2 linked regions of the Alligator mississippiensis genome follow. The main gene of each other region encodes a partner of the protein of the gene in region 2 in a complex. Links are inferred from orthologs where the notes say so. Each region holds a gene or a part of one and is shown on either strand. Other genes may lie near its edges.

The links.
Region 1: the proteins of DISP1 (region 2) and SHH are in contact, whole or in part, in a cryo-EM structure (PDB 7E2I), measured with the Homo sapiens proteins. The link is inferred for Alligator mississippiensis from reciprocal best matches to the Homo sapiens genes DISP1 and SHH. Residues at the interface, in NP_001356523.1 of Homo sapiens: Lys242, Thr244, Gly245, Tyr246, Lys247, Ala248, Glu260, His265, Arg299, Phe336, Gly337, Asp338, Leu339, Cys340, Gln341, Arg342, Thr343, Glu459, Arg899, His904, Asp906; in NP_000184.1 of Homo sapiens: Pro49, Asn50, Val51, Thr55, Leu56, Gly57, Ala58, Arg68, Glu71, Phe73, Lys74, Leu76, Thr77, Pro78, Tyr80, Pro82, Arg96, Leu97, Gln100, Lys186.

The regions. Positions count from the first base shown.
Region 1 is NC_081828.1:203,990,231-203,998,885, reverse strand, and holds the start of SHH (sonic hedgehog protein), read right to left. Parts: upstream 4,212-8,655; 5' UTR 3,930-4,211; coding exon 3,621-3,929; intron 1-3,620.
Region 2 is NC_081824.1:182,113,867-182,122,469, forward strand, and holds the start of DISP1 (protein dispatched homolog 1), read right to left. Parts: upstream 3,690-8,603; 5' UTR 3,675-3,689; coding exon 3,652-3,674; intron 1-3,651. UniProt on the Homo sapiens protein: Functions in hedgehog (Hh) signaling. Regulates the release and extracellular accumulation of cholesterol-modified hedgehog proteins and is hence required for effective production of the Hh signal. Synergizes with SCUBE2 to cause an increase in SHH secretion.

The sequences.
Region 1 (8,655 bases), on a different chromosome or scaffold from region 2:
GAGGGACCAGGCTGGCAGCAATGCCCGGAGCAAGGTGAGATCGCGTGTAGGGTCCGAGCCCGAAGGTGACATTCTTCATCCAGAGTGCCACACTCCTTGACCGGCAGAGCCCGCCTGCTTTAACCTCTGCCTCCCCTCCAGCCTCCCTGCTCTCCCTCCCAGCCACTGCCCAGGCACAGCCCGGGAGCCGGGGCTCGGCCAGGAGCGCTCCCGCACGCACGAGGAGAGGGGGAGCCCCCAGACAGTGAGAAAGCTTTCGGAAGATGCCCATGGCTCGCCTGCACCAGGTCTGCCCCCCTCCTTCCCTGGGGCCTGGCCAGGTAGGGCTGGACACAACACGGGCTGCCCCCCTAGGGATCTCCCGAATGAGGCCGTCAAAAGCTTCCCTTGCAATCAAGGAGGAAAGCAGAAGCCCACGTGCACCAGGTGGCTGCCTCTTTGCTGGGTGTGAGTAGAGAGAGATGTTTGGCCTTCTCCAGGACAACTCTCCCAACACGTTACCACTAGGTAAAACAACACACCACAAAGGCTCTTTTCACCGCTCCCAGAAGGGGGGGGAAACACCCTTGCATTATTCCTCCCGCACTGCTTTTAGGGACGTGCAGGGATTGCTCAACAGGGAAGTCCAACGTGTGTATCAGAGCCATAAAACAGATACCCGAGCCACACGTTTATAGTAGCTCCATATAACATGAGTTCGTTCCCTTTGGACTCCGGGGCCTATTGTGCTATGACTTAGACATTTTATGGGACGAGCCGCGTGTTTGCCCTGTGCAGCAATGCGGTGCCCGTCTGGGAGGGCAGGGAGCCATGAGGAAGTGGGCTGGCAGTGCCCCCCTCGCCCGCCGGCCGGGCGTGCCTGCTCCCACCGCTAAAGGTGAAACATTAAGCGCCTGAGCCCGCGGACGAGCAGAAAGCCCTTCCCTGCCCAGCAGCCTCGAGCCACGGCGCTTTATAACCAAGAAAACAAATCTGCAAGAGGCGCAGGGCTGCTCCGTGCCCCCCCTCAGGTCTCCCTGGCCGGATGAAGAGGGAGGCAGGACCTAGTAAAGGGCTCTCCTTCCTTGTACACCGCCTGAGCGGGATTGTCAGAGTCAAAAGCCGTGAAGCCCAGGCTCTTTATTAATTCAGTGGGTCGTGTGCCACAAATCAAGCCCAATTCTGTTCAGCCACCGTGAAGCTCAGCAGGGCAGCCTCGACCGCCGCTTTGTGTGGAGGCGAAGTTGTTCAACAAGCCCCTCTCCTGCCAGCTCCTAATCTCTGCACAAACGCCCGGCTTGAAGGAAACACTTAGCAGGTACCTGTCAGTGCAAACAGCCTGGTGGGCTTCCTAAATGCCGGCCTGAACTCCGCATTCCTCCCAGCCCGCCCCGGCTGTGTACCTGTATTACCCGAGATTGCTATTTTATTTCATACAAATTCCAGCTTTATCATACTGACCTGGCCTCCTTATCTCTGCCCCAGATCCAGCCAATGGCTGCCGGGGTGGGGGGGAGGCCAGGGGCAGGGGGGCATTCAGCAGGCTGCTCCTGTCACCTGCGAAGTTGAGAACCTGCCCTGCCGAGCTCTGTTTGCGCTGCCCCCCTCCTCAGTTAATATTAACCCGCAGCTAATGCATTCAGCGGCTGCTCGGAAAGTTTAACTATTCCATTCAGGGAAGATCTTGCCATGGCTGAAAGGCTTGCACTGAGCAGAGCAAGACTGGGAGAGGGGGAGCCGGGGCTTGGCCAGGCCGGGGGTGGGACCGCAGTGCCAGGGAGCCCCCCGCGGGCCCTGGGGAGCCCCGGCACCTCCGCGGCGGCCCCCCGCCGGCGGGGGTGCTAGGAGCCGGGATAGGCACTGGAGGAAAAAGTGTTTGTTTTCGTTTGGTTCGGCTGAGGGAAGTTGACAGAAGGTCAGAAGTTCAAACGCTGCCAGCTAATGCAGCGAGAGTGGCAAGCCGTGTAGGAAGCTGCGTATTCCCAGGGAAGGGCGGCCGCAGCCCGCCGCCGGGGAGCGAGGCGCTGCCCCCGCCGCCCCCCACGTCTGCCCGGCCTCGGGGGTCCCCCGCCTGCACCGACATGTGTGTGTGCACCTCGACACACATGCGCAGGCATGACGCGCCCGTGTGCGCACACACACACACTCACACACACTCACACACGCACGTCTCTGCCCAAGCCGTATTAAAAAGGATACGAGCTGAAATCCTAGCCGTTGCGATCGATAACAGAGGAGTAAGTGGAGCTGAAAATGCGAGACGTGCCTGACTTGCCGCACAGCTACCCTTGTCTTACAGCGCTGCAGCCAGGGCTGTGACAGGGGACCGAGCCGGATCTCCCCGGGCCGCCCCCCCCGCGCATTAGGGGCCGAGATGAAAGCCGGTGCGGAGCGGGCCCGGGGACCCGCGGCACGACACCCTCCGCGCCGTGGCCTCTGCATATTTAATTGAGGCTCGCGCTTCTCCCTGGCAGAGGCGCGCGTCGACACTCAGAGGTACAGTGAGATTTAAGGTGGTCGGGAGAGATCGCGGCGGAGACCGGTCCCTCGCCCCAGCCCCCGCAGGAAACCGGGCCAGGGGCGAGGGCAAAGTTGCGGGCATCCCTCCCACCCCGGCGCGCTGCTGCAGGGCGAGGGCTATGGCAGCACCGAAGGTGGGTCTTAAATATATCAACAGTGCAAAAACATTTTTTTTTTAAAAATCCACCCCCCCCCTAGCAAAACCTCGCTGTTGACCTATATTTGGAGGAAACCCATTCCCAGTGTCTAGATGCCAGCTGCACTTTCCAAACTCCAGCACCCATGGACCCACTGGCTTCCCCCATTTCCCATGAACAACAGCATGGGACTGTCTGAGGGCTATTTTTTTTTTTTTTTTTGCATAAAATGGTTCCGCATTCTGATTCCAGCCGAGGTGGAACATTTACCCAGTTGTAAACCTTGTGCTAGCTCATTTTAAAAAAAAAAACCCCACAAGTGATGCAATGCTGATAAGTTGCAAGTCCCTCCCCTCTGGAAGTACCAGAGCATCCTTAAAGAAATATCAATATATTTACGCTCTGATGGGCACAATTGCAAATGATGGGATTGCAATACAAGCCATATAATGCAGGAACAGGAGAGGCATGGTCGATTCTGCTTCAGCTGCTTTTGTGAGTGCGAGGTTTCCATAGCTGCTAAATTTAGAATGGGCTTGCAAGGAAAAATAAGGAAGGGCAAATAATAACAGCATCAAAATCAAGCCAGGCGCTGCACCGAGCCAGGGCTGCATTTGTAATAATGAATGAGTGGCCTGGCGGTCACCATACACTTGGGGTCCTCCGAGCCGTATGCAATTCGTTTGATCAAAGTGCAGCCTTGGGGACAAATGCAAACAGAAATCTCTACCCAAGTTACAGGGGACGCCATGGCCCGGTTCTAAGGGCAAGTATCACATCAAAGCCCAACACATGTCTAGCAATAGGCAGCTTCCCTCTGCAAACTTATCGGGCTATAAAGATGTAGGCTTACATTTAAGAAGGCACCTCCCCGGGTGAGTGTTGGGGGAGGGGATGTCTTTCAAAAATACCAAGACAGATGCTTCATTTATCATTGCTCAGATATGTTAACAAACAAATATATATGCATCTATGTGGCTCTACCTGAGTCATCAGTCTGTCAGCTCCAGTGTTCTCTTCATCCTTAAAAATAATGTCAGGGTTGTAATTTGGGGTTAGTTCTTTAAATCTCTCGGAGTTTCTTATGATCTTCCCTTCATATCTTCCACTGGCCCCTAGGGTCTTCTCTGCCACATTGGGGATATACTGCTTATAGGCTAAAGGGGTCAGTTTTTTGGGGTGTCTCCTTTTTCCAATCCCCCTGCCCGGTCCACAAGGCAGCCCCGAGGAGACCAAAAGAGCGCAGATGAAGCCCACCAAGAGAATTCTTGTCAACAGCAGCATTTCGTCCATTGAATCCAATTACTTCCCAGCTTTCTGTGGCTATCCCTGGCTGTCTCTCTAGATAGCTCTCTTCCTATGTCCTTGTCTGCTTTCTGAATCGTATGCTATCCACCGATCCCTAGCAAGACAGGTGCTGGAATGGCAGGCTCTAGGTCGCTGATAACGGAACACATCGGAGTTGGGTCGTGAGACAGCAATCGGGAGACAAAAAGGGTCTGATTTTAATGGTAGCAAGGCTAGAGACGCTTGTGAGAGGAGTCTGCCTTAGTTCTATATTATAGCTGCCAGGGCCGAGTCCTGATTGGCCAAGGCGAGACAGCTTGTCTTCTGATGTATTAACCCTCAAAAAGGCAACAAATTCTTGAAAGATTTTTTTTTCTTTTACCTGAAGGGCTTGGAGCTGAAAGGGGTGGAGACTGCGCTTTCTTGGGATAACATCAATTACATGCTGTTTTTTTGGGGGTTTTTTTTAACTTTCTTGGCAGAATGGTACATATGTCAGCAACAGTAACAAATGCCCCCGTGAAACAGGGAGAGAAGATGATCAGGCTGTCTCCCTGCTAGTCAAATTTTCAAGGGCAGTTTAAAGCAATATAAAACAACGCCTTGGCTATCACACCACGTTGCAAAAAAACATTTTTTTTCCAGGGGCAAAATGACAAGCCCATTTCATAAGGAACCCACCTAAGTGCCTGGGAATCAGTCTTTTTTTCCCCATTGAGTTACAATACTGCACTCTCATGAAAGCAATGCAACTTTTTTTTTTTTTAAACCACACTTGTCTTCCCAGCAGTTAAGTGACTGGATTAGAAGAGGGGCAGAAAAGTCATTTTGATATAAAATTGGCAGTTTTATAAAGTTCCTGGTGTGTGACTTTTACAGGACACAACTGCTCGTGAGGGGCACTTTATTACAGTAGTCTTCAGAAAATATTGGACGTGAAGGAAGAAAGCAGCAGCGACCTGGTTCAAAACTGCAGCCTAGGTTTGGTGTCCCGAGCAAGTTGGGGCTCCGGTCTTTGTTTCTTTGGTCTAGCTGGGAAAAGTGCATTTCAGCCCCTTATACCTCCTTGTGGGGTGTCATTAAGTTTTGAAGAAAAGCAAGGTGTTGAAAGCATCCGCAAACACAATTACCAGAGATCGATCCGAGCCAAGTGAATGGAAAGGGGATAAGTTTAATGTTAAATTAATTGTTATCTCATGCAGCGTGGCAAGTGATGTCTTTATCCCCATCTCCAAAAGCTACTAATCAGACAAAGGTGTTGAAAGACGAGCAAAATTGCAGAGAGATGGGGCTGATAGAGCAGGTTAGACAGAAAAGCAGAGTCCCATAAGAACAAACACTCCTGCTCCTGTAAAAAGCTCAGATGCTTTTGCTCCAAAGAAAATACAATTTATCCAAGAATTTAGAAACTTTGAAGAATTTTTTTAAAAGACTTCTTTAAAAACCTAGACGGCTTGTTGGCGTAATTCAAGAGTTCCCCTTGTCCGAAAAGGTGCGGGGGAGTCCTCTTTATTCAACAAGACAAACTTTGTGGGACAAGCAGCAATGGAAGAGTTTTCCACAACTGTTAAGTAACTACTGGACTTTTAAAAAGAAGTCGTGGATTTTAAAAAACAGTGTTGAAGTAGTAAACAGGGTTGTGTAAGGGAGCAGGGTGGCAGTGGCAGGACACGCGGAGTGGCAGGGACCTAGCTGGGATGCTTTTTCCTTTTAGGCAAACTTTACAAAGAAAGAAGCCGAATGAACTTGATCCAGAATTGTCTGCCCGCCTTCGACTGTCGGTGAAGTCGACTTCTTGCCTTGCTGCTGTTTTTAAGATTTCAGTGATTTTCTTTGCCCAACTCCAAACTTAGAAGCTGCGAAGGAGCTGAAAAGTTCGAGATTTCCTTCCCGAGCGCTGAGTGAGTTTAAGAAACAAGTGATATCAGGGCCAAAGAGCTTCTTGGCACCATCTTTTCCTAAAAACTAAGTCCTCTCTTTGTGTGTGCGTGTGAGAAGACAGGTTCAAGGAATATATAATTTATACAAAAGAGTGTATGCTCTTTTGATGTGGTTGCCTTAAACAGCATGAGTTGATGTAACAGTTGATTAAATAGTGCCAGGGTATAAAAAAACAACCTATTTCAAATGGCGGGGGATCTTGCAAATCTTTTATTACCCCTCCTGCCCCACCCCCAAAGGGAAGATGATCAATACCCCAGTTAGTGAGCGCGTGGACATTGCCATGAAGAAGTCTAGAGAACAAGGACAAACTCCCTCATTATCAGATTGCCATATGTACAAAGCAGTCACCCAAAGATTAACAGGGAAGGAAACGCAAAGAAGGAATTAATTAAATGCGAGTAATAAATGCAGGGGGAGGTGGGGGGGGGGGAGAGAGAAATCAAGAAAAGTTGTAACGATGGGAAGCTTAAAATCAGCCTGCGATCAAATTAGACGTGAAAGAAAGCAGAGCTGTGTTTTCGGGGTGGGTCTGGTCAGTTTCAGCCAGTGCAGGGCTCCCAGCGGCACTCGGAGGAGCCAGGGCAGCGCTGGCCGGGGCACACCGGGGGCATTTCCGTGGGGGCGGCGGGGACAGGCTCCCCTCACTTCAGCCCTGATGCCCCGGTGAGAAGTGCTGCCTGCCCCCCCGCTGGGACCGCTGTGGGGTGTCCTGCCCCCTTCCCACCACCGCTCCTGGACAGACGCCGGCCTTCAAGCGCCGGGCACACGTGCGTGCCCCCGCCCGGCCTGCCGGGCCGCTGCGTGCCCGGGCGCGCGGGGCTGCGGGTGCCCCTCGCACGTGGCGTTTCACCACCACCACCACCACCAGCAGCAGCAGCATCCCCGGCTCGCCCTGCTGCTCTCTGCAGAGGGATTCGTGGCTCCCTCCTGGCTTACAAGAAGAAAAAAAAAAATCAATGTTGCGTCCAGTCGTCTCCGAAACCCTGAAGCTCTCTGGGCTTCTCCTCTCGGCCCCGCGTGACAGCGCCCTGCGCCTGCCCCTGCCCCCGGCTCGAAGGTCACGGAGCCGCGGCCCCCGCGGGAGCCCTGCCCCTCCCTGCCCGGGGCCTGTGCCCGCCCGTGCCCCAGGCCCTGGGGACTCCCTGCGTGCGGGACCCCGGCGCCGCGGTCGCTGGCTCGGCTGCTTTGCTTGCGCGGAGCCCGGCGCCCCGGGAGGAGGCTGCGGCCCCAGCACCGCTCCCCGGCACGTCCCTCCCCGCGGCGGGCGGGCGCCGGCTCCGCCCCGCACTGCGGCTCCCGCGCGGGCGCAGCGGCCGCTCCTCTGCCCGGGGCCCCGGCTGCGCCCCCTGCCCCTGCCCCGGACCGCCCCGAGCTCCCCAGGCACGGGCACAGCTCCCAGGGTCTTCGGCGGAGGGAGGATTTGTCCTGCAGCTGTCACTGCCCTTGGGCAGCTCCAGCCTTTCTGTAACCCACCGCTGCGGAGATCTGGGCCTGCGGCAGGCCTGGCCTTCCCTGCCGCTGCCTGGCTCCCCCGGGGTTGTGTGTCAGTGTGACACACTGGAGAGGAGCTGAGCAAAGACACACAGGCATGGACCCACATCCAGGTGGCCATCCTGACCCTGACATGCAGAGGGAGGGGTACGCCCATTAAACTGGCATTACAGGACCACTGAAAATCAGGCTTCAGGTTGACTTCAGTGGATTTTGGCGCAGGTGTGTATAAGTATACATATGCATATATGCCGTTACACACACGCACACACGTTTGCATGTATGTGTAGTATATTGCCCTATAAACACCGTTACGGCTTAGGTGTCTGTGTTGGCACACGCGATATAAATAACTATAATTTGCCTTCATCATTTCACATGGTGATTCGGGAATAGGACTTATTTGAGATCTTGGCTATTTTTATCCTTTTCAAATATCCAGAGTGCTAGTGTGCATTATTCAAGGGTAGGGAAGCTTTTAAACGTTTTAGCGATTTTATTAGTGGCTTATTTTAAGCTTTCCAATGTTCCTTGTCCAGCTGAAATCTGGTTTTGACTGAAGAAAAAATTCCTTCGGGAAAGAATAGATACTGAAGTAAATGCCTCCAGGAAAGAGTAGATCAGATGCAATGTTTGTGTAGATTTTAACTGGGCCTTAATTACTTTCTGAACTGCCACCCTTTATACTCACCTTTAATATATGACTTTTGAAATCAATTATCACTTTGCAGTGTTAAAGCTTCCTTCCTTGTAACCTCTTTGCATCTGTGATGTTTATCAAGAAATACTGGGCCTAATTCTTTATTTACTGAGGTGCAAGTCAGGAGTAACTCCAGTGAAGTCAATAGAGTTACACCGGTGTAAAAACACATAGAAGTGAAAAGAGAATCAGGTAGACCTGTTATTTTAAACCTTGCTCGGTTTTTTCTCCTCTTACTCTTTAAGATGTCAGGCAATCATTTTTTCCAGGAATTTTTCACCAATGCCAGTAAAGTTTGTCTCTCTTAATGGTATCCATAAAGCCATTGTTATGGTTGATTAAGACTGTTTAAGAGAGAATAGCATGTAATGCTCTACATGGCACAATTATAAGGCCAAATCTGAGCAAGTCTTTTGCACAGACTCTTGCCAGAAAACTCATACCTGGAAGAGAAAACTTGGGTCAGAATTTGTCCATCCTAGTCAACTCCTTCGGAGAGCGGAGAGAGGAGCTGCACAATGGATACTGCCAGGTATTGCCATAGAGATATGGGCAGTTGAGTCTTGGTTTGTGATATGTTTAAACTTGTGTCCCTGA
Region 2 (8,603 bases):
ACACCAGATGAAAGAGGGGCCACAAACAGCAGCAAGCAGCATGAAAAGCCAGAACTGTTGGTTTACTGCAGTGGTCTCCAACCTTTTTAAGCATGAGATCACCTTTGGCGTTAAAAAGCTACCCAAGATCTACTGTGTGCCGTTGCCACTCTCCCGCCCCTTCCCCGCCCAGCAGGTAAGTCTAGGGGGAGGGAAGGTGGGGAGATCAAGGCAGAGGGAGAAAAAATTATTTGGGGGCATACTTCCCCAGTAGGTAAGTCCCACCGGGCCAATGCCCCACTCAACTTACCCCTCCTCCTGCCTCTGTGGCACGGTCCCTCACTGCAGGGGCTCGATCTAGCCCCCATTCCCTCCCTCCCCCACGGATTGACCTGCTGGCCTGGGGTGCGCACATGCATGCATGCTTGCGGGCGCTTAGCCCCCCACCCCAGTCTTGGATCAACTCCAAGAGGCTCTGAGATCTACCACAAGAGGCTCCAAGTTCTACCGGTGGATCGAAATCCACTGGTTGGTGACCACTGATTTACTGTGTTAGTGAGCTAAAAACATTTCTGCACAGGAGCTTCAGAAGGATAGACACGTTTTCCCATAATTGGCTGTAAAATACTGTATTTTTTCACATACTGCACACACCCAAATAAGCAGTCGGAAACCACTGCCAATATGAAATCAGCAGAGAAAAGTTAACACTGGCTTCTATCCCTGCTTGCTGAGAGACCATTAGCAGCCATTTCACAGCACCATGCTTCTATTCAGGCAAAGGAAATCCACTTCCCCACTTATAAGACATATAACCCAGTTTTGGAGAGCTGATTTTTGAGGGAAAGGTATGTGTGGTATTTAAATTAATGTGGTGAACTGTAGAGTGCCACAGCTTAAAACAACACTAAAAACCAATAAATATTCCCCCAGAAATCTTATCCATATTCCTATAACATGACTGTCAATGCACATAAATTAGCATGCTTTGAGCATGACAGGGGTTGTCAACAAGGGGCATGCGTACCCCTGGGGGTACTTGAAAAGGCTCTAGGGGGTATGCATAGGCGGGTAGGGACAGAGCGCCGCCACGTACTATTCTGCACTACCATGCAGGTGTCACCCACCCAGCCAGATGTTGGGGGGCAGGGGAAGTTTGCACACAGCAGCTGATCCAAAAAAGTTGAAAACCCCTGGCTTATTAGAATAGGGCTGAGTATAGACATTCAAAAATCCTGAGCATGAATTGATTCAGTCTTTGCAGGTTAGTCTAAGCTACATAGATTAAACCAAGAAACAAGTGAACAGACATTCACTTTTGATTCCAGAAATGCAGCCACATGCCTGCAGTGGCTCAGGCTAGAAGCCAGGGGGGCACTACAGCAAGTCCTCCCTTCCCTTCTGCAGTGTCCAGAAGGCTGGAGGGAAGCTGAGCTGAGGTGGGAGGGCTTGGCCAGGCCCCAGCAGGTGCTGAGTATGATTAGGGAGGGGTTTAAACTCCCAACCATGGAGTGCCTGGAGGGAGAAGCGGGGAGCAGCAGGCTTTTTTGGTGGGAGGAGGGGGTGTGGAGCATTGCTAGACCCTGCCCCTGGCTGGCACCAAAGGGTTGAGCAGCAAGAGCCTGACCCCAGCCCCGGGCCTGACACGAAGTGGGGCAAGGAGGGGGGAAATCACAGAGAAGCATGGCTGGCAGGAACCTCCAGAGGTCCTCTAGTGTCTAGTCCAGTCCCTGTCTGAGCCCTGACCAGACCCTCCTATATAAGCACAATCTAAAGAGTGGAAGGTTTTCTTGCAGCACTTACAACCGAAAACACCCACCAGAAGGGCTCTTAACTGCTGGGGAAAAAAGCCACCAAAGGCTTCCTGTGACTGGTGCCCTCCTCACCCCACCCCACCCCACCCCACAGTGGGGCCCAGTACTGTGCTCCTCCAGCCTGAGTCCCAAGGCAGTGCCACATAGAGCCCCCCTCACCCCGCAGCCCTGCAGAGCAGGAGAAGGAGAGCGAGAGCCCTGCCTGCCTGCTGCAGTGGCTCCATGACATCCCAGGCTGGCCTGGGCGCAGGGCGCGGGGACCTGGGAGCAATCTGGGCACACAGCTTCCATGGCCCCAGCCCAAGCTGCAGCCAGATAAGAAGGTCCCTGCCCCTGTGGCATGGCTCAGCCTGGCCCCGCCATCCACCCACCTTGTCTGGGGCTGAGACTGGAACTGTGGGGCTGAGCTGGGCCAGCCTGCAGGCATTGCTGAGGGTGGGCATGGAGGGGCTGGGCCCAGCTGGCTGCAGCTTGGGCTGGGGCTGTGGGAGCTGTGCACCTGGATTAATCCTGGTGCCCCATGCCCAGGCTGGACTGGGTTGTCATGGAGCTGCTGCAGCGGGCAGGGCTCTCCTCTTCTTCCTCCTCCCCCCCCCCACCACAGGGCTGGGGAGGAGGGGGGGGCCTCTATGTGTGGCACTGCCTAGGGCTCAGGACCGGAGGGGCACAATACTAGGTCCCACTGTGGGGCAAAAGGGAAAGACTGGCTACAGGACGCTCTCAGTGGCTTTTCTCCCCAGCAGTACAGAGTGCTCCCCCAGTGGGTGTTCTCAGTTGTGGGCTCTGCGAGCAAACCCTCTGCTCTTTAGACTGTGCTTGTATGGGAGGGTCTGGCCAGGGCTCAGGCAGGGGCTAGACCAGACACTAGAGGACCTCTGGAGGTCCCTGCCAGCCTCACTTCTCTGGGATTCCTCCCCCCTTCATCTCAGGCCTGGGGCCGGGGTCTGGCTATGCCCCCACTCTCACTGCTTGAGCCTGGGGGTGAGGGGGCAGAGGGAGAGCCAGGCAAACCCCAGCTGGGATCCCACACTGGTGGAAGATGGGAAGGAGGGAGAATTAAACCCCCACTTTCCCCTCAGGCCACACTCCCCACTCCTGCCAAAGGGGGTACTCCAGAGCAGTGTTTCCCACCCTCACCCCCTTCTCAACCACCTGGAGCAGTGATAATGCTCTGACTAGGGAGGAGATGGGTGGAGCCAACCCTGCTCCACTGGTGCAGGCAGCACAGCCCAGGGCTGCAGAACATCCTGGGACGCTGGGGGAATGGGATTTAATTTCAACCAGGAAGAGGTCTGGGACAGAAGTTCTGTAAACCAGTTTGACCTAAATCAGTTAAGTTTGCAGTTTTGGCCATTTTGAAAGTGATTTATGTGCACTGAATGTCTGTTCTGTTACAGGTTTAAACTGGTTTCTGATCACTTAAACCAGTGTGTGTGTAACTTCTGTTCCTAGCCTAGAAGACTGCACCCAAGTTTTTCTACCTCAGAGTCCCATATCATGAAAATTCTGTAGTGACAACTGCTAAAACCAAGTCTATAACGTCCAGTTAATCTAAATGGTTAGCTTAGCTTCAGTTCAAGCATCTTCACCATACCTACCTTTGTAGCTGTGTCCCTACTGTGTCTGTGCTTGTTGAAAGTTTGAGGCATGTTCCATGGTTCTTTTTTCTGAGACACACATTATTTTCCAGTCAATGGTGTCTGTTGCATGGGAATTGGTCTGCCATTGCAAAGTGTCAGGTTCCAAGTGGAGCCTGAGTTTTCCCTCAGCTCCCAGTTGGGTAAGCTGAGGATGGTAGGAGAGCATTAAAGTTAATATCTGGGTATAAGCCAAGGTTAACTGTGCAGCATAGACTGACCTGAGTGAACCACAGCCATTCATCCTTCCACCTGAAGAATGGATGATGTTCTCCTGCAGAATACTAAAGAAAGGGATGTGCACGGTAGATTATATCAGGCTTCGAGACAATAACTTCTGGGAAATAAAAAGATCAAGAAAGATAACTACCATGGACTCTCTGAATAAAGTTACACAGTAACTACATGTGCTATAAGAGTTCAGGAGAGGTTCAACAGTGGACCCACTCACTTTAAATATAGTCTCATTTGAAGAGACAGCTACTTATAAAAGGACCAAAACTTTTCTTAAGTAATTACTTTTGGTTTAGTAATTAAGAAAAATTAATTAACTGGAAAAGAAAGGAATTAACTGCATCAATCAGGCCACATATGTAATTAAATCTTGTCACATATCTAACCTTGGTCATTAAAATCAATGATATTTTGGCACAAAGAAAAGTTTATACTTGAGCTTCCTCTATGCCATGATCCATCTAATTCAACAGCTCTTCCTTGCTTTCTGGTGGATACATTGCCAATGAGATTAAATATACAATTCATATATTATCAGGAAGTTGTCACTTAAGATGTAGGTTTTTATAAATCTTTACTAAATAGAATATTAAAATCAATGTATTTGGGATTTTTTCTTAATTTCAGATGAACATCTACTTAGATTTATTCATTGTTCTGCAGGAACTGCAACAAGAAAACTGGAGCAAGTCTAGGCCCTGAGAACCAGAAAATGAAAATGGTTACTTTTTTACTACTTCTATTCTGCTTTGTTTGGACTTTGAAAAGGAAAAGGAAAAATTGGCAAACAAAAGAGAAGTTATCAAGAATGTTTACAATGCTGCTGGCACAGGTAAGGATTTTTTTTTCCATGTGCATTTTTAGCCTTAAAATTCTTTTTACCTGAACACATGGGTTAAGACCTGGTAAAATATCAGAAAACTAATTTAAATTATTCACTGCCAGCTGAAGAGTCCAGAAAATAACTGGGGTTTAGCAAAGGGTACGAAGCATTCCTCTCCAATCCACAAGTTTATGTCCAGCAGAGGTTAGCAAGGGCCAAAATTGATTAACCAGTATTTTGGTAGCATATGCAAAATGGCAAAGTGAGTCTCTGATTTCATTTCACAGTTGTCAGACCCCACAAGGAGTCAAGTAATTCTTGAGCCATATCAAGCTTCTCTCTCAATGAAGATGAAATACAAATCTCACCACTAATACAGATACTAACCTCACTGAAGGTAGTAAGATTTTTTTAGAGCAAACCCATCCCTCCTAAGCAAAAAACTCTCTTCTTAAAAGAAAGTCTGAAAAATTAAATAAGCCCTACATGTCCTGCAATGTGCAATGTATTCTGAAGTCTTAAATGAGGGGCTTATATACCGTAGTTGGAAGTGGAATAAGCTAATTTTAGTGCCAAGGACACTGTACTGAACTTATTTTGCATTAAGCATCTGTGTACAGTTTTGCAGACTGTTAACTGCTGTGCTGATCACCTTCCACATGAAAATAAAATTCTCCAGCCATCCCCCAAAATGTAACCAAACTTCTTATCTGAAACAATAGAAAGTCAGGTGAGTAAGTATTTATAGCAATATGGACTTAGTGGCAGATCTGTATACTTTAAAATTGATTTACAACAGAACAGTGCACATTCTTCACTTAGGGTGATAAATAATTTACCAGTAAACATTTTTGCCTATTAGCCAAAACCACATCTTTTTGTCCAGAACATTTTTACCGTGCTCTTTCTGCACAACAGATTTAGAAATAAAGTTTTCTATTACAAGTGTGCCAGAAAATCCTATTGTTATATGCTGTCTGAAATGATAGGATTTGGATTTCTTTGGATTTCAAAGGTTCAGAAGAAAATTAGAAGCAGTAGCAGTACCTGGATTAATAAGGACAGACAAAAGCACAGCCGGCAACTATTAGCTTCGTCTGGCCCGAAAAAGAGTCTCAGCATAGACATTTCTAGCTGGAGCTTTTATTTGTTGGGAATTTCAATGAGACAATTAAATACAGGCCCACTACAAAGTAGAACATATCTGTATTACTCATTATATTCTGAAGGAAAAAAGATCCAAATATTCCCTGATAAGGCTGTTTTTAAATTTAAGTCTCTCATCCAAGGCACTTACACCCCAATTTAAAATGAAAATTGAAAGATTTGGATACTACATGGGCAAAGCAAGAAATTATATTTTGGCTAGATAGCAGGTAGCAGTTGCCCTTTTTACTGGCCACAGTATGCTTCAAACCTCTGGAGTCAGAAAACAGTTCAAGTACTACCACTATCTTGGAGTATCTGGGCATATAATCAGAGAGCAGATCTTCCCTTTAAATCAGGGGTGCTCAACCTCTGCCCATGGAGCTAGGATATCGTGCCCGCAGGACCTCACAGGTTGGGAAATTTGGCAGTAGGGAAGCACTGACAATTCATACTGCCATGCACCTCTGCTGCAAAATTCCCAAACCAAGCCCTATGCAGTGGATTGGAGCCGGGTCATGCCCCCTCCTGCCCTGTGGGGCCAGGCCAAGCTCCCTCCCCTGCCACCGCAGGGCCGTGGCAGTCCCCCCTCCCCCCGCAATGCAACTGCCCCCTCTGTGTGGCCGGATGCGGTCCCACCACGCCAGCCCCAGGTGCCAGATTGGGACCACCAGATGGATCCGGCCCACAGCTGGACTGGGCGCTGCCCATTAAACCCACCAGGTAAAGAGGTTGAGCTCCACTGGTTTAGATGCCCTTGTGAGACAGAACCCTAGCTGGAACCCTTCAGACTTGCCTGTAGCTTAAATATGAAGCCTCCCAGAACTCCCCACCACAGATGTGAGCGCCTTTTTACTTTATAGCTTTAATTCCTCAGAAGCATGCAACAGATGCATGTACACATCAGGATTGCTAACTGTCAATAAAAAAAAAAAATCAGTCTGAAAGTGGGTGCCAGTGAAGTCCATAAAAAAGCGTTAGCCAGCAGTAAAAACACTAAGCAGCTGGAAACTGACTGAAGTTCTGACAGCTGGATCAGAGCAGTGCCACCTGGTGTTCAAGGAGAAGCACAACACCCTGCAGGGACTGCTCTCTTAGCAATATGCTGCAGCTGCTTCCCAGGCTGCCTGTAATGCTGCTGCATTGCAGATACGCTTCTTTAGGCATCTGTGCCAGAACAAGGGAGCAGGGCTGGCAGGTATAAGGCTGGGTGGTAGGGGGGCAGCATGATGCAGGGTGCAGTTGGGGTTATCAGGGTGTGGGGTGAGCAGGGGACCTCTGGCAAGGGGTGAGGGAAGCACAGTGTAAAAATCACTGCAGTGAAGCAGGACAACTGACCCACAAAGTTTGTTTTTTTTTACTGCAAACTTTTTACAGACCAAACTTCTTTATCAAGGTTGATTTTAAACTGCTAAATCTGAACCCAGCATTCTAACTGAGGCCTGGCAGCAGGACAGGGCCTTGCACAAGAGTTACATTTTGTAAAATATACATCAGTAGAACAGTTTGACTGCCAGTAAAAACCTTGCAGATTGTCAGTTAAAAATGATTTCTTGAGTTGGCAACCTATGCACATGCTTTGCACAGTTTCTAAACATATTATTGCTCTTTACTTAACAGCAAAAAAAGACCCAGATCTAAGAAAGAAAAATAAACCCTGACAGCATTTTTTGTCTTAGCTTCCTCATCATTCAGGAGCGTTTTTGGTCTAGGGTCAAGTTCTTTGGGGTGGACTACAACCTTTCTGTATAGCTCAAGATATATTCCTAAACTACAGAATCTTTCTAGCCCAGCTTGCCTTTCTAATTGGTCCTACAGGCTTCCTTTGCTGTAAAAGCCTGTCCATGCATAAGATTTCCTGTTTCTTGCCCCAAGCCTCCTGTATTACTTTTCATATATCCCCTTACCATCTAACTGACTACTTCATTCTGTTTGCTCATTTTTCAATCTTAAAACTCTAGCTCCCTGCAAACAAACAAAATTAACTTTTTTTTCTGGGTAGGAACCACATTTGTTCCACCTGCTCACACTTCAATACTGAGCTGTTTTGACTTAAGTAAACCACCATTTAGATTTATCAAATGACTGTCTCCTGGTATGGGAATGACACATTAGAAGCCTCATCAGCAAGGTGGGATAAGCATTCACAAGGACACTCCAAATATACAACTATTTCATAACTCCATAATATTATCGACCAGAATTCATAAGTCATACATGGTTCCCCAATATTCAAAACAGTAAAAAGAACCTTTATATCAGCAATATTGTGCTAAATGTTCCTGAGGGGTAGGTAAGACATTCAGTTGATTTTCTGATTTAAAAATCCTATAATTTGGCTAAAAATAATAAGTAAGCACAAAAGAATATTTGTTTTTTCAACAAAGTAAAAAGTCTTCTTTAAATTTGTTATTCTAGTTTTAAATTAAAATTTAGAATTTATTAAGGACCTTTAAAAGTCACAGTTATTCTAAACAGTAATGTCTTTAAGCAACACAGGTAGGCATGAATGCCCAAACATCTTCACTGGTCAGGGTAACCCAGTAGGTTCAAGGGTCTGCTGTTTTGGTTGTGGAGCCACATGTGTAATTTTTAATACACAATGCTAAGGTAACATTAGGCAGCTGTGCTTTGATTGGCCAGTGCTGCAAAGTAAAAAGCAACTAATGCAGATAAGATGACAGGTGGCCCCTTATAACAAAGTTGCTGGAATTAACTTTAATTTGGAAATCTTGACATTATCGACAATTGGGTTTTTTTGGCCGATGTAGCTGATAATGCCATGTGCATGTGCGCAGTCGCAGCATGCTTGTGGCCAGGAATGCAGACTGGCAGCTTGGAGACCAGAATCCGGCCAGTAAGTCTGTGGAGGGAAGGAGCATGAGGGAGGGAACCAGCATGGGGGTGCAGATTGAGGCCCCCACAGTGAAGGAGGAAGTGGGGCTGGGGTAGGCACTGCCCAGCCGGGGT